Oreochromis niloticus: one gene and its partner. The protein of the gene in region 1 purifies or fractionates together with the protein of each later gene. This does not show direct contact. Links are inferred from orthologs where the notes say so. Each region holds a gene or a part of one and is shown on either strand. Other genes may lie near its edges.

Region 1 (12,838 bases):
GCAGCTCTCTCTGGTTTGAGGGCGTGTCCATCTCCTGGCCAGCAGCTTTTTTTTCTGGTTGTTTTGTGCATGTGCACTGTGGATAAATTGCTAGTCTTTAACGGTAAACTGATGGGAGACCAGTGTGAGAAACAAGCTGCCGTTGGCTCGGCTTTCACTGCTCTGACACCAGTAATAAACTGTGCTTTGTATGGAAACACGGGCACCATTACCCTGTAAATTAGCTTCAGTCAGATTCAACATAACGGATGAGTTTCTTCTTGGTAACCACCTTGGCCAACATGTGTAATGTAGAGAATATGGTGTGAGAAAAAGTTTTTATTAACTTCTTTAGTACTGTGACAATAATCAAGATGGGATAGTAGCTCAGACCATGTCTGCTCTAATAAAACAGGCGAGTTAACCAGGCATAGACTCAGCAGCGTTTTCAGATTAACATCTATAAGATTTCCCGAATGTAGATTTTTTTCATTAATATGTTTAATTCCCCAATAGATGTATGCACAAGCTTTTCAATTCAACTGTTTTTATTATTAATGTATTTTAATACACTTTAAAAAAAATCATGATGAAGGACTGTGAAACTGAGCTCTTAAACAACAATTTCTTTTTTAGAGATTAGATTTTTCAGAGATATGCGATGCTCACACAACAGCCACACATATGATGAATATGATTAATATGATACTGTACATTAGGGCTGCAGCTATCGATGATTTCGGTAATTGAATAATGTATCGATTATTCCATCCATTAATCAAGTAATCAGATAAGTTACTTATTCCGATCTCCGTGTTCCAGATGTTCAATCTACAGATTCACCATTTTCACAGACTTTTCCTGTCTGTGTGTCACTGTGGAATGCAGGATTAAAGACCTGAGGGGGGGGGGCTCCATCTCCAGCTCGTGCAAATGCATGTAAGTATCAATATGATCTTCAGACAACAATGAAATGAAGATAGTATTGATACGTATAGCTTGTGCATTTGCGCGAGTTGGAGATGATAATCCTTTTAAACCGTATGACACACCATTCCTTGAACATGACGAAGTAACAACAAGAACACGGTGAGTCGAATAAGTAAACAAATCTAACTAGTTAACGTAAGAACCTGTTAACCTGAAGCACCGGAGCTGCAGTCTCACTGTTTCAACAACTGTGTGGAACCTACTATTCAGCGAAGTAGCGAATCACTCCGAACTGGTTGTATTCCTCTTTGTGTTCTAGCAGCTGGATCACAGCATCATTCAGGTAGAACAGCACATTGCTGTCCGCTGGAACACAGACACACACACAGATTATAAAGTTAGCCTAGGCGCTAACTGACACAGCTAACAACACACGACCTACCGAGATACTGGTCAGCGGGAACCGTGGGGTTCAAACGGTTCATTCTGCTCTTCCCAGAGAAACCCACTGAGACGAGACTTAATAAATACGCAGCTATAATCGGTGAACAGTGCAGCTATTTACTGTACGTACACTGTGTTCTTATTACTCGGAATTATGTTAGCTAGCTGTCGTGAGCTGGTGGACTTCCATGGAAACCGCCGGATGTTGTGAGTTACATTAATCAGAGCCCCTCGAACAATACTACTTACAAAGATTCCCCTTTGAAAGCAAATGTTTTACAGAGCTTTCAGAATAAAAACTGAGAAAAATTGGAACTTGTATTTTGAATTTACAGTTACAGAAAAATATTCACAAATGTGTAGATTGATATTCTCACAAATAGAATAAAATAGAATAGATCTTTATTGTCACTGTTACAAGAACAATGAAACACAGTTTGGCATCTCTCTCTCTCTCTGTGTGTGTGTGTGTGTGTGTGTGTGTGTGTGTGGATAGATAGATAGATAGATAGATAGATAAAATGAATAAGTGAGTGATCAGAGCAGTATAAGGTGCAATGTGGTCAGTGGTATTGCGCATTAAGTAAGGAATAGGAATGCTGGTTGCTACTATAATAAATACAGTTATATAAATAGAGAATGTTGGTTGCATTATAGTATAATAAATATGGTTCATAAATACAGTGTAAATGTCCATGGATTTTAACAGCACAGTTAACCTTCAATCAGGGTGAGGGTAGGGCATGTTTGACAGCCTTGATCTTGACATTGAGTCTGTTTGTCTTTGACCTGATCGACCTGTAGCGTTTACAGTAAGGAAGGAGAAAAAAAAGTGAGTGTCCAGGGTGCAAGGGGTCCTTGATGATGATACTGGCTTTCCACTGAAGTCTGCTGGTATAAATGTCTCTGAGGGGGGTTAGCGAAGTGCCAATTGCCTGCTCTGCCGCCCTCACCACCTGCTGCAGTTTTCTCTTGTCCTCCACAGTACAGCAGTTGAACCAGAGTGTGCAGCAATAGGTCAGAAGACTCTCGGTGGTGGAGCGGTAGAAGTAAATTAGAAGTCTGGAGTAATTGCATCTGCTACAGCTTCCTGAGAAAGTACAGCCTTTGTTGTGCTTTTCCTACCTGCTGGGAAATGTTTTTAGACCAGGTAAGGTTTTTACCGAGATGTGGACCCTGAGGAACTTGAAGCTGCATCAATGTAGAGGGCGGAGTGCTCAGATCGCCTTGTTCTCCTGAAGTCAATTACCATCTCCTTAGTCTTGGCTGTGTTCAGATGTAGGTTGTTGTTGTCACACCATCGCTTCAGATGCTGAACCACCTCTCTGTAGGCTGAATCACTCTATGTAATCACCCAATCAGTCCTATGTAGGTGGTGTCATCAGCAAATACACTGTGAGCTGCAAACTTCTCATTTAAATTTTACTTAAAGTAATTAATTAATTAATTTTTGTACTGCTTACAACCACATCTCCGTGATTACAACCTCTTAAATCAGTGAATACAAGCACTCGACTGTTCCCTCTCAAGTCAGATCATTATTCTGCAATTTTGCAACACTTCTTGGGAGAAAAGCATTTCAAAACTTGCACTTGTAACTGAAGGGGGATAAAAAGGGGTGTTGGTGGTGGTGGAGGGAAGGTATGGGGGGGCGGGTAACGGCAGTAGAGGTCAGCCAATCAGAAGGCCTCTGTCCTCTTTTCACCATGTTGGATTCGCAACTACAAAGCACTGAGCCTGGTTTCCTTCAAAACTTTGTTTAGTACATTAGCACTGTGGTTGATTAGGAAATTAACACAGACACAGCAGTCCCCCATTCCTCATTAGGAGCAGCAGCAAAAACCAGAGTGAATGATCATTTTAGCTAACGGCACTAGTTAACTAGCTACCCAGCGTACACTGATCAGTAATACACTGTTATAACAGTTCTAATCCTTTTTAACAGACCTGAATGTTGCAGCTGCATAACACACTGTTGATGACGACTGTGATCTGTTATCTTTGTACCAGAATAAAGAGGGAACCCAGAGTATGAGCAAGTCCAGTGTCTCAGTGCCATCCTTTCTGCAAAGGCTTATGAAGTCACATCCACCACAGATTCTCAGGACCACAACAGCTATACCAGCAGTATCTTCTCACTCAGTTTATCCCACTGTTGGCAGTAAAAGAGGACTTAGTTCATCTCTGAGCCCTCACTCTGAACCACAGCACTTTTCGCAGGGACATCAGTACATCACACTTTAAATCACACTAAACTAGTCTTCCTCAGTACTTTCATGCTGACTTACCCATATTTATTATGCTAAAAGGAAGCAGTACCAAGTTCATACCAACACTTACAAGTTTACAAGTTCATAATAAATCCCTGAACTCAACAGATAAAGCTGCCTCTGCTGTCCTTTTTTTGTTCTTTTGATTGATTGGTCATTTTGTTTTGGTTAGTCTGTCCAGCAGTAAAGGCCGTTATGAATGATTGAGAATGAGTCTTGTAAGGGCGGACTAATCTCTTTCTTGTTTTTTCGTTTATTTGTTTGTGCCACTTCCCTTAAAGAACCCAGGTTGTAGGTCATACATAGCGCTGATTCCCAGCTAGGCTGTTTGCAGTGCGTGCCCACAAGTAAATTGATTGCGATTTCTCTAAAACTGGGTGTGACAGTTTTCAGTGTAGTGCTATTTGCCTGCACCTTTGGTTTGATAGGTCTCATGTGCAGCTGGGATATTACTAGAATTTATTTCTTTGGCATTTCATTCGACACCTTAGTGCTTGGTTATATAAATGTTTAAAGTAGATCATCTTTAGTTATTTCGATTCAGAAACAACACAGAATTATAAGTCAAATGTCTCCTATGTGTGTTGTCCGTTATCCGTGGCTGTACTATCCATGGAAAAAGACAAACTCTCTATACTTAAATGTTTCATAAACATTCTTTAAGATACTAAAATTCAACTCAAATTAGAGAGGCTGGGATTTGGTCACTTCGTACAGCCAACAACAATATTAGAGCACTTTTCAGCCCAAATTGATTTTGGGGCAGTCAGTTTTGTCTTATCAAGCCACTCATACCTGGAATACAATACCCTCAGAAATAAAGAATATATAACATTCTTTATTTCTTTTTCTAAATTTGTGAAATAGTGATTATTGGATAATCAAACATGTTGTCATGACATAATGCCCTTGAAAGTCCGATTCTAATGTTTTGGGGGATTTTTTGTAAGTGATCATAGTGTTTGATCTTTAATAATGGTATAAGGACATGTGTTTATGTCACAAGTGTTTCTGTATTTTACTTATGTTCACACGCTTCAAAATGTTTGGTTTGTTGATTTATTTAATATGCCATTAACCTGCCAGGGTTTATGAAAATGAGTCTGTGGGTAAATCTGGCATATTTACATGATGAATTTAAGTGCTCACGTTAATTAATAAGTGTTATCCCTTTTAAATAAACACAAACATTTACAAATTGTATTGATGATCACAGCCATCACTAAAAAATTAAACTGTGCATGGCCCTTGGTGTGCTATGTCCAGCTGATATTGAAATGTGTGTACTCATGTAATTAAAACATATGAACAAATGAAAAGAAATTATCTCTACTCTTATTGTTGTCAACAACAGCAACAACCCACAATGAACGGGTCTTGACAAGGTAGGGATCCCCGACACAGTTAGGTTCCCCTGTGTCGGGAGCATGCGCTGGCCTGTCCAAATCACGGACAAACAGTATCCGTCATTCTTGATTTTTAGTTTGCAAACATTTCTTATAATGACTTGTTACTACTGAAATTTTGGAGGTTTTAGCTTTTTATACAATCAAATTACAGGAGGATACATATTACCAGGCATAATGTCGTCGGTTTGTTGAAATAATCCCGTCCGATAATATGTGAGAACAACAAATGTATCATTTCTGTTGTAACCCACAAACTGAACGGTAATTTAACGACACCCATCTTTTACTTTCTCACTAAACTAAAACGTCACGACTTCCACGTCTGTTTAGTTTGAATGGAGGCGGAGTCAACTGGATCCGGTTTCCCTGCCCAGCGCGTCCTCCAGATGCAGGGGAAACTAATTCCTTCAGATATACCTACCTTTACCTACCTTGACACGACACAATCATTTTATGGTGGCCATCAAATTCTGCACTGAGCTTTGGAGAGAGTTTTATATATCCTTTATTTACCCGGATTAAAAGTGTCGTTGACATTAAAAATGTGTCTTTCGAGAGGGCCAAGAGGGCAGCAGAAATTGTAACAAACATAACATAACAGTTCTATAAACTTACTTAAAGTGACCAAAACGCACTGCATTGATGACAATATGGGTACAAATACGCAGAGTCATAAAGATACTTCAACAACAGGCTATTTCTTTCTTCTATATATAACCCAATCATAAATCATGTTCACTACTGTCTATGTACTAATATGAGTAAAAATATTCGACCGTAAAAGACACATAAAAACATCGGAAATCGGTTTTTGGTATATCTCCAAAAGTTGAATCTGTTCATCTGGACGTAGCGTTTTGTGGGAGAAACGTTTCTCCCACAAAACGCTACGTCCAGATGAACAGATTCAACTTTTGGAGATTTACTTTCCTGGATGATTGAGAATGCATCAAGAGGTTTTTGGTATAACATCGCTCATCCCAAACTGCACATAACTAAAGTTTAAAGGGCGTGCACGAAACAAACAAGTAGTGTTTACATAGACAATAGTAGTTTTGAGATAGACTTAATTTCAGAGTAGCCAATGAAATCTCTTCTGAGAAAGCAATGCACGCGTTGTTCCAATCAGCTAAGGAAATTCACACATTGAAGGCGGAGCATATTTCAAACGCAACCAATCTCTCTCCACATCTGTCTCCGTCTAGTGAAAAACAAGGAAGCCCATTAGATGAATAAGTAGTCACGTAAGTAAAATGTCACTGTATGAATGTAGCATTTTGTTTGTGTGCTGCTTCTTCTCTGTCCATGACAGGTTGCTTATGCAGTCGGACTAAATATTAAAAGTGATTCAGTACTGGAGTGACGTCGTTGGGGTGGTGTCCCGCTCTCCGCCCCGCCTCTGTCTGTCCGGCTCTGGAGAAATTTGAAAAAGCTGAAAGAAGTTGGACGTATTTATCGAAATCGGAAGTGGGCGTTCATTTGCGTTTAAAATAAGAGTTCAACACACGCATATTTCACAGACAGAAAAACAAATATTTTCACATCCCAGCCCAGAAATACTTTTTCGAAGTTTTTCTTTTAACGAATACGCAATTTATGTAAATTATATTTAAAATTTGTATTAGATAGGAAACGGCCCAACTGTCTGTTTTATTTTGTACCGGAACAGTGTTGAATCTCCTTCGAGGCAGAGAAGCACTTGTATAAAACTCGACTGGACCCGCAACAGTGATCACTATCATCCTCATCGAATTGGAGAAGCAGCATCGTAATTTTTAACAGCCGCAAACAGGTATTATGTTAAAGATTATTAATATTATTATTATTTTAAGCAACTACAAATCATGTTTGAATCGGAGCTAGTTGTGATGTAATGTGTGTAGCTGCGAACTGCGCTGTTAGGCCTGGTTATGTTGGCGCGGATGGAAGGTTAGCTTGTAGCCTTGTTTCTAATCAGCTAACAGCTATTATCAACCACCAGTAAATTAACGGCGAGGTTTGACTTTGAAAATAACTTATGCATAATACAATTTTGCACGACATGTTTAGCAATGTTTATTTGTCATTAGCGATAGCCGTGTGTGTTGATGCGGGTTGGACCAGAATGAGCGGTTAACGGGGTAACGTAGCAACTGTCACTGTTGTTGCTAAGTTAGCTAGTTAATGGCCCTCAGTAACTAACGTTAGTAACTAACGATTGCTAGTTATGTTATGCTGGCCACTCCCATACAAACCGGGAAAGCAAACAATCAGTGAAATGGGTAATTGACGGCACGGTTGATAACCAAAGTGATTGTAACCAGACCGAAAAGCAGCTGGTTGGGTGTATTTAAGGGGGAATCTAGTTGATAAAGGTTAGCTGTGCTCATTTGGTTGTATTTTAGTTTAAGTTCTGTAATACTGAGAGCTAGAGGTGTAGTGCTGCTTTTTTTGAGTAGGAGAGCTCACTGATCACATGTGTTGAGTTGTAATTTGTTTCTAAGGCTATTTCACTAAAGTCACAAATTTACATTACTCAGATATACCTGAGAAAAGTAATCAAATGTGAGACTGAATTTAAGAACATCATCAGTTTTTACATGCTGTTTACGGCTGTCTCCTTCGTGGATGTCTTCTCTTTTTCCATTCTTTCCTGTTGGGTAGTTGTCAACTCTTTCTCTAACTCATCTCTCTCCCTCACCTATTCTCTGTGTTTTGGATCTTCTACCTTTCACAACATTAAGCTCCTTTTCCATTAGTACCAACTTGGATCGACTTGCCACGGTTTTTAGGGCTTTCCATTAGGTCATAGTACCTGCTCGGCTGGGGTTCCAAGTGATTTGAGCAGGTACTAAAATGTGACGTCAGACTGCATGCCACTGATTGTCTGGTCAGTGGCATCACTCGAGTCATGAGACAGTCTCATTCACGAAAATCAAAACTGCCGTTTTTGAAACCTGGCAACAAGGGAAATGGCTACAAAAAACAATGCCATGGTCCCAGAGTCCGATGAAAAGCTACAGACTGAGCAGCAGGTATGTTCTTGCCTTGAACTCCATCTTTGCTGTAGTGTTCCTGTCGCATACCAATTACATCACTGGACACTGGCTATGACGACAACCACGCACATTAGATGGTACTTGATTGCAAACCAGTTGATCTGAGTCGAGTTGATCCAAGTTGGTGCTAAAGGTAAAGGAGCTTTAAAGTCAGATTTATAGATTTATCCAGCAGCTTAATTGGATTAATTGATTCATCCAGAGGAGACCTGCTTTATATCAAGCTCTTCCACTGTTTAAACCTAGAATGTTTTACACCTGACTTGTACGATGTGCATAACACAAAACGTTATTTACTGTCAGATCCTGACACATCCCTGTATTGAATTTAGAAGGCAACTGTGTCTCACATGCTCAAGTGTGCCATTGCCCTTGTTTTTTCTTGTATGCCAGTGTCTGGTATATTAAAGTCAGCATGAATATAGCAACTCCATTAAAGTGGTTTGTGGTTTTCATCAGCCAGATTGTGCTACAGTAAAGCAGTCTTTCAGCATTAAAAAGCTACTGTTGGGATTTAAGAAAGTGGTGCTAAGTGGTTTGGACTGAAAAATGTGGAAACGGGAGATATTTTATTTGGTTGGCCTTGTTGCATATGTATTTATATGAATTTCCCTTTAACAGGACACATTTTTTTTTTTTTTTCAGAGAACAGTTACTAAATAGATTATACAAAGATGATTAATTAGGATTTTTGCATTCAGTTTCATTGTAAATGTAACAGTGATATTTTGGTGGTGGAATTTGTGATGGTTGGAATGAGAGGAGGAAATGTTGTCAGAGTGCCCAAGTGTCACCAGTGGATGCCTCAAAGCTAGCAAAGGTTTTAGCCATATACTCACATTGTTAAAACTTTGGCTATATACTGTACAGAATATGATTTTGTGTCTCGGCAAAGGCTGTGAATTTAGAGAGGGAGCAGTCAGAACTGAAGCAACTGTACTACCAGAAGGAAATGGCTACAGCATTAGAGACAATGAGGGCAGCTACAATGACCTCTGAATCCCACAGCCAAATAGGAATTGTGAAGAGGCTGCTAGGAAAGCCACAATCACCAAATATCTGCAGAGAGTAAAGCAAGTCCTAAGGAGTCAGCTGAATGGGAAGAACAAGATCTAGGCAATCAACACCTACGCTCTGCCAGTGATTAGACACCCCACTCGGATAATAAGCTGGTCAAAGGAGGAGATGGACGCCACTGACATCAAGACAATGAAGCTCCTTACAATGCATGGAGAGTTTCACCTCAAATCCAGTAGCCCGAAGGCCTTTTCACATAGGCTCTGAAACCCATTAATTTCTATTGCATGTGCCGCATGCACGATAACGGTTTCCTGCTGAATTAAGCAAAGTACAGCGTAATCGTGTCAGCAAGGAGTTCTTGCACAGCATCTGTGCTGTGACATACCTTTGCATCACCAATAGAAATGAAGCCAACAGCCACGCTAAGTTCAACCACTTGATGAGCAAAAACATTAGTGCATATCAGAGTTCAGTGAACTTTTTGACAAAACTTTATGTGTGTATGTAGAGACCTCCAGAGCATTTGAATAAGCCATTCCTTTCAACAGTTCTGGAGACCTCGGGAGAAAAGCAGTGTTGTGGAAATGACTGTGTCGAGTATGGCCTGGAAGTCATGATGTTAAACTGGGACATGCTCCTTAGGGTTGTTGAGAATGACCGAGCTAAGATCCTGTGGGACTTCCAAATACAGACAAACTGGTGTTGGCTAACCAACCGGACATAATATTTGTGGACAAACAGAGCAAGGCAACTGTAATTGATGTCGCTATATTAAGTGAATGCAACAAAGGATCATGAGAAGCTTGAAAAAAGTACCACGAGCTGAGAGAAGAGCTTGAGAAGATGTGAAGGCAACAGTGCTCCCAGTGGTAATCAGCGCAATGACCCCAAGCTGGACAAGTGTCTCCAGCAGATCCCAGGAACAACACCCAGGATCTCTGTCCAGAGGAGCGCAGTCCTAGGAACAGCAATGATGCTACGCAGGACCCTCAAGATTCCAGGACTTGGGTAGAGGACCCAAGCTTGAAAGGGGACATGAAATGCTACACATATAAAGCCTAACTTGCATCATAGAGCCCAGCTCTCAAAAACGGACAAATCTAACACTGTCTGTGAAGCTGGATTTAAGAAATAAGTTTAAAAAACATGTTTAGCGCCATCTTCTCTCAGTGTACATTACGTCAGCAGGTTGTTTGTTTGGTGTAGGCTTGCATTAGTTAGTTATATGTTCTGTCATTAGTTGGATAACAGCGTGGAAAGCAAGGGGACTAAAACTAAAAATCTGTTTAATGGGATCACTTTTGTGCTGCCCCTGGATATAACAATGTTAAAACAAAGGATATACGGTCCACTTTGACTGTCTGGCTGTCTTGGCTTTCCCAACTCAGCTTTTCAAAAATTTGCATTTGTTCAAGTGTGATCAGTGATCAGTCAAAGTCAGTTTGCAGCTGTTGGCACAAAGGTGAGATGCGCCCTCCAGTTCATAGTACCCCCAGAGTATTTTCATTTATTCAATAAAATATTCACATTTGTTGTCCCTGTATCGACATATCGCCACACAAAATAATACAGTATTTTTAATATTGTAATAATTTAATCTTTGTTTTTGTTTTGTTTTTTTGTGTGTTCTATGTGGTTTTTCTCCTCTCTCTCTTTCGAACCCTAGTATTTACCTGGATAAGCCAAAATCCTGCTTGGTAGTCCAGGGCTCAGGACTTAAGAAACCAATGAATCATGCCATGGTAGCTAAGCCAAGTTAACAAAAAGTCAGAGCTCTGTTGAGTCATCATTCTCTTAACCTTAACTAGTAATGACTTCATGAATTTCTTAACAGCAGGGACGTTGTAAGTTAACTTTGAGAATCATTTAATGAAAAATGTCAATAACTAATAAAAGCATTTTGAACCGTTTATTGTATTCTTGAATAATGGATCATGCAGCTTAACTGTGCATGCATCATGCATTATCAACATTAAAATCTAGAGAGAGCCCATCTACCTTTCAGAGAAAGCTCATTTCCAACCTTCCTTTTTATCTAAAAAATTCTTGAAAGTGTAGTTGCAAAATGGCTAACTGATCACTTGCAGAGGAATGGTTTATTTGAAGAGTTTCAGTCAGTTTTCAGAGCTCATCACACTACAGAAACCATATTAGTGAAGGTTCCAAATTATTTTCTTGTTGCATCTGACAGTGGGCTCATCTCTGTGCTTGTCCTGCTAGACCTCAGTGAAGCATTTCATACAGCTGACTATTATTTTATTACAGTAATTAGAGCATGCTGTAGTTATTAAAGATACTGCTCTGTAGTGGTGTGAATCACATCTATCTAATAGACTCCAATTTGTTCATGTAAATGGAGAGTCCTCTTCACACACTTAGGTTATTGAAGGAGTTCCACAAGATTCTGTGTTAGGACCAATTAAACTTAAACTATGCATGCTTCCCCTTAGCATTAGATGGCATAGCATACATTTTCCATGATTTGGTACTATATAAATAAAATTGAAATTAAATTGAATCTCTGGGCGTTTCCCAGTGGAGTTTGGTGCTTCATCTAGCCAAAGAAATAACTTTACGCTATGTACATTCACTTCTTAACCCAAAACCAAGTGCCTCAACTGATCTGGACCATGATAATGGTGTCTGTTTGGGCGTGACCTCAATTGCTACATTAATTATCAATGGGCAAATGTACTACAAGTCTCTTTTTCCCAACTTTAGTAGCTATCAAATGACACTTTCCATTAGCTGTCATTAGTATAGAACACTACGCTGTACTTACTCCTCCTCCTCCTTTCCTTTTTGTTTTTCTTTCTCAGAATCCTGCTACATCTCTTTCTAATTGTTGACTGTACAGTGGGAAGATAAGGCGATCGAACTGTAGAACATCATCCACTCTAGATACATTAGCAGATGGTCATAATACATTTTTAACCAGTTGCTTAAAGCCTCACTTTCCCACTATGTACCACATTGTTTCTGAACCACTGTTTGCTTTTTCTGTCATATGGACTTCAACTAAGATGTTCAGCTGAGTCATTTGTTTACTTTTTGCTTTTTGGAGGTTGCTAAAATAGGCCCTGCCCCACCCCACCTCCTTTTCTTAATATATTTATTTTTTAATAAAGGTATTAAATTGTAATTGGAGGCTGACTGGCTATTGTTGTCAGACATGCCCAGGCTTGTCTTGTGTGTGCAAAGGAAAGTAAACACATGGCATTGGTATAGTATAGATTAGGGCTGTGTGATATGACCAAAATCTCATATCCCGATATAAGACATTTATCGTCCTGACAACGATATAAATCACAAAAATTTAACATTTTTCTGTAAATTCTGTGAATCTTGGGCAGCTCGACTTGTGTTTAGTGTTTCCAGCTGGGCGTCGCGTACCTGGAGTCGAATGTTTTAACTGATGCATGAAACGATACATTTTTAGACATCGGTTGTAACGGCCACCATTTTCTTTGTGAGTACTTATTTCACGGCGTACTGCGGGGAAAAGCCTGTTCTAACATTTGAGTCTAAGGTTTATTTTTTAGCACCTGACGACTCTTTTTGCTTCTCATCCGTAAACACTCTGCATACTCATTCACATGATTCAGTTTATTTTGAAAAGTCTCAACAGGATCTTGAGCTTTATTGTGAAAGGTTTACGTGGAAAACAAACAAGCGGACAGCGGAGCCATGCGATGGTTTTACCATCGTTGCTGCTAACGATAACGCATAAAAACAGGCGCTTGTCTGT
Region 2 (11,971 bases), on another chromosome or scaffold:
ACATCAAAGACATTACATTCATGTAAATGAATTGCATGCTGTGTGGTCAAATGTTCCTGAATGCTGGATGCATTTCCCCTGTTGGGGTCATTGGGGTCATTACTCAAAAAAAAGTAATATATTACAAATGTTACACAGAACACTATTTTAAATATCCATATGAACGCTGTGGAGTGCAGACTGAGTTACTACATTCCTCTTCCAACACATGAACTGAAATCAGCTAATTGTAGCACAAGTGTAAGTGAAACCAATAAGCGGCATCAATAAACAGGCAGACCAACAATTCCAAGGAATTGAACTACTGGGAACTGGTTCTCTACAAGAACCGGTTCTTGATTCCCATCCCTATTTTTAACATAAATCAGCAACCCAAAAAACAGATGCAAGCACTAGCAGAAGAGCTGGTTCAGTGATTGGAAAAAAGTAAGAAAGCACATTCTGCATAGATGGCTTTTTGGTTCTCTTCAGCTCGAATGTATCATGTTTGTTCGAAGGCCAGCCAGACAATTGTGGACACAAATGAACATATCTCAATACAGACACTAATAGAGAAGCCCAATGATCCAGATAACATAGTCTGGTACACATATTATTTGTTTCTGACCTCTAACATACCAAAAGAAAGATAAATTAAGTGCATTGGTATTGTAATTACAGTTCAAACAATTACAACTATGCTCCTGTTTACCTGACATGGTGAGGTCCAGTCTGTGGATGAGGGAGCGCTTGGCTGATTCCATCTCGGGACTCGGATTGTCCAGAGCTTGGCGGCACCACACGATAGGACTCAAGGCTTTTTGCAGGGGACTGTTCAGCTTTGCCTCATATAACCTAAAAAAATATCAACAGCAAGTTATTTTTCTCCTCTAATAATGACCGACAGATCACACCTCATATATGATGTGACTCAACAGCTTGAAAATGAAATGTTATTGAAAGGATAACAAGCTGCTAATTTGGACCTGGTTTTATTACAAAGTGCTGCCTTTTAGTGGATGATGTGGAGAGGCAGGAAGGAATTTATGCTTTCTTAGTGAAAATAAAAGAAAAAAATCTTGTGCGGCATTTGTCTTAATGCTAATTTATTTCAGACATAAATATTTAAAATCTTGAGCCCCTAAAAATATAGTAAATACCCTTTTATTTATGTTGCATGTGTTGAGTTTTAAGAAATTTTAAGAATGAACAGTCTTAAAGAAAAAAAAAAATCTGAAAAGACCATAAATATCAATACTTAATCATATGTACTCATTTAAATAGTCAAACACTTTTAATATGGCTTCAAGTTAAACTCAAGGCTTGCAGGGAAAATACAGCCTGAAAATCACTTCACACTCACACACCTAGTTGCTCTGCAGAACCAAGTGCACACACCAAACTGAACAGAGAGACACAATGACACCTCATATGCAAACTGACAAGCCAGCGAAAAACAAAATGTGGGAATTTTTTTTTGTTTTCTAAAGTTGATGCTGCAGGCAGATAATTTTACCCGAGCAACCTCCAGAGCTAGAAGATTAAGTTAAAGTGCCTAAAAAAGTAGCTCTTTAATTGGTCAATTCCCACACGTTCTAGTGTTAAAATGTTCAGCAGCATTAAAAACCATATTTATAGCCTGGTACAAAAATGTTTGGGGTTTTTTTGGGGTGTGTGACTGCTTTGGGTGAGAGGTGTTGACAGGCCACTGGAGCTGGTCAGTGACTGCTAGGTGCTTAGAAGTTTAGGCTCCAGTTTTGATGAATAAAATTCTGGTATTTTTTTTAGACCATTACCTGGCACCAGTTACCAGGTATCTGTTTCCATTCACTGCACCCATACAAGTTTTTGCAGCTTGCTAACAAATCTATCTGGCATTAGCTCATAACTTAGCGCTGCATCCTATGTCCACATATGGTAACTTCTGGCTGCAAAAACCAAAATAGGAGCAGCCAAAACACTAACAATGAATCTTCAAAATGCAGAGTCCAGAACCACTGGATGATGTCATGGTGGCTACACCCACCATTTCTACACACATGTGACACACTGAGTTAACTACAGCTTTACTGAATGTAAAGAAAGACATTTGTTTACCACGACATAATTTCTGCTTACAAATAACATTTGTGATGTCATTTTGATGTTTGAATCCATAACAGCAAGAAATACAGTCATAGACAGAGAACTAAGGCTTCATTAAGTTGCTGAACTGAAAAATGACAAAATTTATGTTACTTTTGATTGCAAAAGTATAGAACATGCCTAAATAAGCTAACCTAACAAGATCATTGGAAAAGAAATAACACTGAAGTACATACAGCTTTACCTGAGATAGCTGATAAGCTATCAGCCTCGCCTCATTTCCATATTAAGATGAGGTCAAAAAGTGCATTGGAGCAAATGAATTGTGACTGTGGCACTTTCAGTGGCTGCAAAATTTATATGGTTTCAACTTCTAACAGTCTAAACATGTTTTCACTCATCAAAATTGAATTTAATTGTGTTCCCCATTTATAAAAGCAATACAAATGTTTATGAAGAGAAGAGAAGAGAAGAGAAGAGAAGAGAAGAGAAGAGAAGAGAAGAGAAGAGAAGAGAAGAGTTGAGTTTCCACTCAGAGGAGAAATCTGAGTCAGCAGCTGTCAGCACTGTTGCAGCCATTGAGGAAGCCTTTCAAGATGAAAGCAGAAACATTACAGGCAAAGCAAGAGCAGAGAAATACCGGCCTTAAATCGGCACTGCACATTGTCATTGTTTATCAACACAATGACAGCCATTCACATGTGGTACAGTGCAATGTAAAACTACATCTGAAACAATGATATGTGTCATGCGCATGCAGAAACAGGAGCGCAACGGGCATCTATTGATAGGCCGAGTGCTGCAGGAGCAGGCAGCCTTTTTAAATCCACTCTGATGCTAATTCATGGGATTACAGGAGTCTGTGACAGGAGCTGGCAAAAGCTAGGCACTATAGGCTAATCCCAGATATCAATCTAATCCAGAGGATGGACAAACAGCCAGGGCATAATGAGACTAGCTTGGCTGGGCATGAGCAAGCAATGTCTGCAAGTAGTCTGATGCCGAGGGCTCAGTAGCTGGCATGGGCATGCAGCTGCAAGCAAGACAGTAAAAGCTGAGTTAGCTCAAATAATAATTACAAAAAATGCAAACTGATTAACAGGATTCACGTTTATCCTCCCTTGAAGAAACAGTGTCTGTGTTAGGAGTGTTCTAAAAATGTAAGAGCACTTGGCGCATGTTCAACTTCAAAACAGATGATATGCCCTGATTGTAGCAGCTTTTAAAAACTGCTATTAAGACGCATTAAGAGTTACGCCCTCGTGTTGCCTACTACAATATCATTACCATAGCAGAAGCAATGCATATAAGCCCGTCCTAATAAGATAGATAACCATTTCCTGAAGAAAAGGGCCATCATTATATTCTCATCCAGTCAACAATGATGGTCTTGGAAGTACAAAAACAGTCAAATCCAATTTAGTCTGGAGTTTGACGGGCTGCACTTCTTTTCTAAAGCCATTTAAGGGCAGAAATGTGCAGTGCTTGGTTAAATTGCATGGGCACAATCTAGCGGGAAATTATATTGAAATACATAGGAGTTAACAAGCAGAACAACAATATTGTATTAGTTCTATCTTCCTCTACTGTAAATGTTAAAGTGTTGCTGTCACTGTCTGGTGAGTACAGTGAAAGTCATATTTTTTTAAAGATTTTTAGCCTGTAATGTTACAATCCAAAAAGTTTCACGTTAATTACATTTTTGCAGTGTAATACAACCTCTTGTATGATTTGGTATCTCTTCAAGGGCAACTACTTTCAAAGAAACATGGATTCCTTGTCAAACTTGGCTGTAATGGCCTAAAATAGAATAGTTGGTTTTGTTGCTTTTTTTTAGCTTGTATGAATATCAGTTTTATGCATTCCAAGTCTGGCTTTAAAATGAATACTATTAGAAAGACCTAATTACAACTGGTGGATTAGCAATAGGTGCATCTAAAGAGAAATATAAAAATTTAAAAAGCAAATTTCAACTAAAATTGTATAAATACACTCACTTTTAAAATACTAACCCCTGATATCTCTATTTTGGGGGGAAATTACAAAAAGTACATGTAAAGATCTTAGAGGTTACAGGAAATACATCAGACTAATGAAGCTTGCTTTTTGTTCATGATGCAATCACAATCTAATGATCTGGCCTGTGGTAAAAACATTTTCCCTTTTTTGTTTGTCCCTTTAATGACAAAACATCAAGACATGCACAACACCTTGGTTTGAGGGAACTGCTACAACCCTTGCCTAATGCTAATTTTATACACAAGACACTCTCTTGTGTATAAGATTAACAGTTTCCGTTTATAACCCCTGTTAATGCAATTCTTGTAATCATCTCTAGGACCCTGGCATAACGTTTATTTCTCCATGATGATGAGATAACTGTCCCATTTCACATCTCTCACTTGGTGCTGCAGAGCACTTGTAGCTGTGTGCCAACTGCTGTGCTAAAGGGATTTCAGAAGAGGAATATAACCATGGCTACCTCTCCCACATGGCTGCTGGGCAGGAAAACAACTTTGATTTTTTTACCGTACAACACTGACACGACAAGCCAAGCAATCTGTCACATCACAACACCAAGGAACTGATGATTTCAAACCCCAGTCAGCTGAGAGCCTATTGCCACAGGCCTGCTGATCTATCTCTGAAACTAATGAACAAACTCTAAGCACGGAAAGAATGGAGAGCGGTCTGACAACGACTGTAAGACAAAGCCTGTCTTTTATATTCAGACAGTCACAGAAGTGCCTTGGGATCGCCCATATGACTTGCCAAACAACATCCTGCAGTCAGTAATCCACAATAAGGCTCCTTCAGTCGGGATGACTTCAGATTTCAGACAAGCTACTGAAATGATTGTTCATGCCAGGCGTTTGTGGTGGCAGCTAATGTGCATAGCAGCTGTGACCAGGCATTTAAAGCTGTCACCCAGCCCCGAAGACAAAAACACGGCCGAGCAGGCAAGTTACCTCCCAAGACAAGCTTTGACTCACCAGCTGTCCTCGTCTTCGTTTAGACAGTCCATGTCTTCCAGATCTAAGATTTCCACTTCATCTAGGATTGAGGTTTCCCCTTCATCCGTGAAGCCCCTGCTAGTGTCTGAATAAAGTGAGTTCATACTCGATAAAGAGGTGGCAGCAGATGCCCCCTCACCCTCATACGCCCTCCTGAAACTGATGCCGTCATAAGAAAGTCTGGGGTTTAAACAGCGGTTGTTCTCCAACAGCCCACCGTAGCCGCCCGTTCCAGCGAACCCCACCCCAGGGAAGCCGGCCAGACCGGCTGCCATCCCTGCTGACAGGGACGACGAGTCGTATCCGGCGCTCAGGGGTCTGTGGTTCCCTGACATCGGTCCGGACGAAGACAACATCGTAGACCTGCTCCGGAGCTGCTCGTTTTGTTGTTCGAGTTTCTTCACCAAGTCCTGGAGCTTCCGCACCTCCAAGTCCGCGTTGATATTAGAGTTGATATCCTCCATAGTGGCTCCTCTCAGCCCTACGAAAATATGCGGTGGTCGGGGGTATTTTTAGGCGTTTCTTCGCCGAGAGTCCCTTTGTTTTTGTTTACTTCACTGCTATATGGGTGTTCAAAGAAGACACTTTGGTGTTCAACCGACTTGAAAAGCTCAGCGTCGTCATCTTCTCCGGTTATTCGTGCTCACGGGTCGGGTTGAGGCCATTTTCATAATACTCGTCACCAACTGTGAAAGACCAACAGGCGGCGGAGAACACACGTCACCACGTTGTATATCGGGAGCGACCACGTAACCAACACCTATTTGCGCGTGCACATATAACTACACCGTTATAGATATGGATCGAAAATTTGGCTACAGAAACCACATTGTAACATATGAATGAACTCCTAAACGCAGGATTTTGGATGTTTATTTGTGATTTACTACATATTTACAACTAACCGCCTGGGTACAGTCTTATACATTTATAACTACTGGGATACGGAGTTCAAAAATCTAATAATTCTGAAAAAATTAACTTGCTGATCAGATGTAGATCGCTTTTTAGGCCTGCTGCTTCTGTTACCCTCCAATTATGGAGTATCCTCAGATTTTTGAAGGACACACTGCACACTATGCCAAGATAAATTTACATTTTATGCTTGTCAAACTGTCATTTTTGGCCTTTTTCACAGTATCAGCTAAATAAATGGGAACAGATTAAATGTTTGGACATTTTCTTTGAGTGAAAAAGCAGCCAAAGGCCTTCAGAACTTTTGCTGAATTTGTAAATGACTAAAAATCTAAAAATTACAAGGTCTTGCAAGGGATTATTAAAGACTTTTGCATAGCAGTGTAAAATGAAATACTAGGCTTCATCTTCTGATAATCTGATGACAAAACCTTTATAGTATTATTATTAAGGTATAATTGAGAACTTTATTTAAAAAAAGGATCCAAATATTTTTAAATAATGCTTTCTGTGCCACAGTCCCTTCCGGTGGGACCCCATTAAAAAAATCCTAGTGAAGATAAAACAAACATGAGAATGTAGCTTTATTTTTACATCTTCATTTATTTATTTATTTTTTACAAATGCTGTGAAAAACTACAACAATAACAGCAAAACGTAAGTAACAAAAAAAACGAAAGCTGTAGATTAATTTATTGGAGATAGCTTCTCAGCCTCAGGGGAGATCCAGGGCCTCCTCTGATTCCAGGTGCTCCTCAGATTTTTGAAAAACACCTTCTCCCTCTTCCTGCTCTCCAGCCCCACCTTCAGCCTCCAAATTCTCCTCCTCTCCTTGTCCCTGGCTGCTCATGGTAGCTTCCAGCCCTTCCTGATCAGCACTGGCATTTTGTGAGTCAGCTCCCTCCTCATCCTCATCTTCCACATCCATCTCAAAAACACGTATGTGCCTCAGATTGGTACTTAGCTGCCGGGAAAGAAAAAGTAAATGTTTGGCCACAGTCCACAATATTCATTCACTGGAATTCCCCCACTGCCGGAGAAACATGAGAAGACTGAAAATGGCTTAAACGACATTAGACTGATCACTGAAAAGCACAGCAGTGCAGATGATTCATGATATCGTGAAACAAAATCCACATAAACTAAATATAATGTAAAGTCTTACCACACAGGCCACTTTGCGGATTCCATTAACAGCTACAAACTGGGCTTTCATGTTTTCCAGCTCACGCCACTGATTACCCAACACCAGGCCTTGGGACGGGATGGAACTGCTCTGTTGGTCCAGCCTGTAAATATATGCAAAGGTTAGATGCGCACTTTAAAGTTAGTTTTAGTTTTACAACATGTCATAAACCAACTACATTTACATTTAAGTAGCTCCAACAGATTTAATAAAATAGTACTTAATAATCTGTAAACATGTGAGTAGTTTATAAGTGATATAAGATATATATATATATATACACACATTTGAGGTTCAGCACCATAAAATTAGTAGTTTAATTAGATAAACACAACAAACATGGTTGTGACTACCAGCAATGCTATGTCATTGGCAAAAACTAGTTATGGTTTGAGAGCAATGTGATTATCAAGATTATCAAACTATGAGCACTGGACTATTTTCGAGGCGTGGGGTGAATTTTTGTTTATGAGTCATTCATAGAATCATGGCATTGCAGGTATGGCAACTTTGACAAGTGTCCTGACAAAAAACAGCAGGACCCGATCAGTGTCTCGCATGCCTCAGCTGCTTTGTTGGTCATTAAACTGGACCACTTCACTGTGTGTGTACTGTTGGTACTTTTTAGAGCATTTTCATGGGTTATCTTAATAATATCGTGGCTTGTAATGTGATATAGACCAAGAAGTTTGTTCTTCAGTTTTGGTGAATGAATTTATGTAATTTATTATACAATTTAAAAAATTATTTAATAAAAATAAAACAATGGAAGGATGTCGAGGCAATGTTCAGAAAGGAATGTTGGCACTACTTTTGTAGAGTAAACTGTAACAAAATTATTAGTACATCCACTTTTTCCTTACTTCAAATAAAAGTGGGGTGCTTTATATTTGAGGTGGGCCATTTAAGTTCTAATTTGGGAAGCGAGAGAGAGTCCAGACTGCACCTGGATGGGACCTGCTGGTGTTCTTAGTGTGTTTGCGTTGATGATGTATGTGTCATGTACCTGTGTATCTGTATTTGTTTTTTTTTTAGATGTCAGAAAAAGATTTATAATTATTTAATGAAGATCAATCAAAATATTGCATGAACACAAACCTCAGGTTTGGCTCCCAGTTGAATTCTGTCTCACAGCTTAAGCTGGAAGAAATTGGAATTTGAGCAAGGACACGCCTGGCGTTGAATTCTTCAGATCCTTGTAAGACCACAGTTAGCATTTCATCGTCATAAAAACGAGCATCCAGGTAGCTGTAAACATAATGAGACCTGACAAAAAAAACCAAAACACACCTTAAAATCTTTTGGCCTTGCACAAACACCTCTCTTCAGGTGAGACATTTCTTTGCGCTTATATCTGTTAATACAGTAAAGGAACAACATAAGCGTGACTCACTGGTCTGCAGCATTTCCATTATCCCCACTGTCAAGGTGATGGGTGAGATTAATCGACATGACACTGTTTGGGATAGGTCTGCACAAATATAAAAAATGAGGTTAGAAATGAAAATCAAATATCTAAAAAGTACTTACTGAATTACAGAAATGTACCTGTTTGGGTCAGTTCCTCTGCGTAACAGGTAGAGTTTGTGGGGTGAAATCTCTGGCATGCAAAACACAACATAATGCATTTTGGCCTTTTTGTCATTCCACCTATAGGTTGACAAATGAATAACATTAATTAAAACCCCATCTTGATTTTACAGATAAAAAAAACAACAAAGAACTGTAGGATGTTTGTGTTTTACATACAAAGATGGAAGTTCAAAAAGCCGAGGAGTGTTTTCAGAGCTAAAAAACAAGTAAATACAAATTTAGTCTCAGTGTATGGCTCATATTTAAAATACAACAGATTTTACACATAGGATTATACCTCTCTGGCACGTTGTACAAGGGCAAAAAGATGGCTTGTTTTACCGACTTTCCAATTACTTCCTACACACAAAGAAACAAAAAAGTTAAGAGGAGAGAGGACACAACATTGCCAGCCAGCGTTATATTTTGAATGACTGCAGAAATCTACAGTGCACAAAACTTACTGCAGGTTTCTGTAGACAATTCTCAATCACATTCTCCATCATCCTCTTGACAAAGTGCAAAGACTTTTGGGGATATGAAGGAAACAGCAAAGGGCTCCCTAAATAAACCAACAAAACATTTAATCAGGTGACTAACAGGTATTTTGAGTACATTCAACATTAAAGTAGTTTCACGCCAAACAAAAAATTTAACCCAACTCCAAAACGCACAAAGGTGATAATTCACCTTTCAGGTGTGTGCTGTCCTGTAAAAACTTCAACCACTGGTTCCCCTTTGTGTTGGGTGGAGACACAAGGTCCTCATCTTCGTCCTTCAGGTACTGTAAATGTTATTAGGAAAGACAAACCACTATGCGGTCATGCAGGAGTTCCATTAAAAACAAACAAATAAACAAACAAACAAAAAAAAGACCAGCTAAAGGTAAACATTACAAAACCATTTACCTGTCCAACTCGTTCTACGTTGAAGTACTTCCCTTTACGACCGAAGAGTTCCTCATTCTGTTAAACCACATTCAGTTAAAAAGTTTAAAAAAGTCTTTAAACTTATTAGCATGCTTTTGCTATTATGCTGATCTCACCTCACTAAAATGCTCAGACAAGAAGTCAGCAACAAAGGCAATGTCCTTCTGAGTCATCTAAGGAGTTAAACAACATGTTATGATAAATAATGGATGTTAAAATAATCCCATGAACACTTAAATCATAATAACATTATTTCTAACATTATTTTCCATATATGAATTTGTGCATTTCATTTGCTGGGATGTAGATTACCATACGTAGAACAGGAGGAATGGTTTGTCAGTTTCTAGTTGTTGGTTTGTTAACTGCTTCTAGTAAACATTTATTAAATAAAAAAATAAAGCTCACCTTATTGAGTTCTGGTGGCACATGCTCCTCACACATTCTGAGCATTGCTGTGGGAAAGCAAAAAGTGTGTGAGCATATAAACAGTAATTTCAAATCTATGAATAAGACCTTACATGCACATTAATTATTTTAAATGTTTCAAGATCAACAATTCTTTTCTTTTTTTTATTTCTTACCTACATACAGCCAACGGAAAAAGGCCTTAAAGTTTTTCATACTCTTGTCAATCACCCTAAATGACAAAAAAGTTATATTATACTAATTCTAAAAAACATTAACATTACTCGATTACGGTCCTGAACTTACTGCAGAAGTTCATTTGCTTTCAGGGAAAAGGATCCAACTGCTGTGATAGCGCCTAAAATAACATAAGATAAAATAAAATACACACATGTGACTACTGAAAAAAACCCCTGTTTTAAATCATTGCGCATGTCCTGAAATGCACCTTCTATAGCTGCTGCATCCAAGCCGAGGGGCTCAAACTTTTGTTTCCACAGGGCCATTCCTTTCACCTCACTGAGGTGATACAACAGAGCCTCTGAGCCACTGCAGCCACCAAAAGAGAGAGACAGATTTAAAATGACAACCAGTCAGAGGGTAGGACAGCCATGATGAAAAGTAAAAGACAAAATACCTCTGCAGGTGGCTTATTACTAGCTTCTGGATGCTGGAATAGGAAGACTCAATGGACTGTCCAAGCTTCTTCAATCCCTGTAATAGAAATTAAATTAAATTAAAAAAAAAAAAACAAAACCCAAAAAACATAATTTTCAACTTCACAGGAAGTCTTATACCTTAACGCTTCTTAAGCCGTTTTCAGACATGGGAGACAAAACATTGATGGCTTTACCAATCTGTTAAACTGACAGTATTCTGCCTACTGGACAAAAAGCCCCTTTTACATAATTTACCTGAAGCCTTGATTTGGATCATTTCACAGCACTGAGAGGATGGCACACAGTACTCACACCTATCCTGTGAGTTGTGAGAGTACTAAAAGTAACATCTAATGATGTCAGAGTTTCAGTAGTAGGTTATTTTAAAAATTACAGATGTCACAGCCTATACAGATACACACTTATTTTGCTTATTAGACATGAGCTACAGCACGGCAGCTTATTATAGTGCTTAACGTGTGACTTAGACAGTGATATACACAATGTTATTTGCTGTTACATCCCGTCTCCATGTTAGGAATGATTTGTTATTTATTTAAGCCATGGGAGTTGTGTCAGATGAGTAAAAGAATGCATGATTCTGCTGCTGTCTGACACTTTGTTATAAGCTCAGGAGAAAGACTTCTAGAAATAGCTGGATGCAAAAAACTAAAATAACACTAGAGTTTAATCTGACCTGTCACAAACTGTCTGTGCTGTGATAAATGTATGGTAAAGCTGAGTTCAGGTAGGTCTGTGTGTTAGGTTTATTTGTTTATTTATCTTTATTTAACCAGGAAGTAACATGGCACTGCTCATAGCAGGAGCCATGCAAAATTTACACATTTAAAGTGCAACAGATAAACAAGATGGCATACAATACACAAATACCCCTGGCTTCTCAAGAAAAACAACATGTTCCCTGGGATGCTTGCACTCACACACTTATCATGGGCATGAATGTAATGGTAATTTATGACTTTAATGATTTCTCTGAACTGTTCTTTTTCCAGGGTGGAGTAATTACACAGCATACATCTTTAACAACTTTATAAAACAAGAATCAGCTTGCAATCCCTTAAGACACATTCTATGATACATTAAGGTCTGATGGAAGCAAATATTACAATGATGGAAACAGATTGGTTAAATATGTGTAAAACAAGTGCCAGCACCTACAGTTCTGCTCCGTGGAGAGAATTTTTATGGAAGATGAGATTTATT

What was found.
Region 2: the proteins of ckap5 (region 1) and slain2 purify together in Homo sapiens (affinity purification with mass spectrometry; 4 studies listed by BioGRID and IntAct, counting the BioPlex papers as one, with this or other methods). This does not show direct contact. The link is inferred for Oreochromis niloticus from reciprocal best matches to the Homo sapiens genes CKAP5 and SLAIN2.

The regions. Positions count from the first base shown.
Region 1 is NC_031972.2:38,738,228-38,751,065, reverse strand, and holds the start of ckap5 (cytoskeleton-associated protein 5), read left to right. Parts: upstream 1-6,496; 5' UTR 6,497-6,824; intron 6,825-12,838. Other genes in the region: cstpp1 (centriolar satellite-associated tubulin polyglutamylase complex regulator 1), read right to left, coding at 1,173-1,275, 1,352-1,394. UniProt on the Homo sapiens protein: Binds to the plus end of microtubules and regulates microtubule dynamics and microtubule organization. Acts as a processive microtubule polymerase. Promotes cytoplasmic microtubule nucleation and elongation. Plays a major role in organizing spindle poles.
Region 2 is NC_031986.2:37,134,081-37,146,051, reverse strand, and holds the start of slain2 (SLAIN motif-containing protein 2), read right to left. Parts: upstream 5,806-11,971; 5' UTR 5,543-5,805; coding exon 5,058-5,542; intron 835-5,057; coding exon 692-834; intron 1-691. Other genes in the region: anapc4 (anaphase-promoting complex subunit 4), read right to left, coding at 6,709-6,957, 7,159-7,282, 8,278-8,445, 8,573-8,650, 8,728-8,829, 8,929-8,967, 9,050-9,111, 9,216-9,313 and 8 more.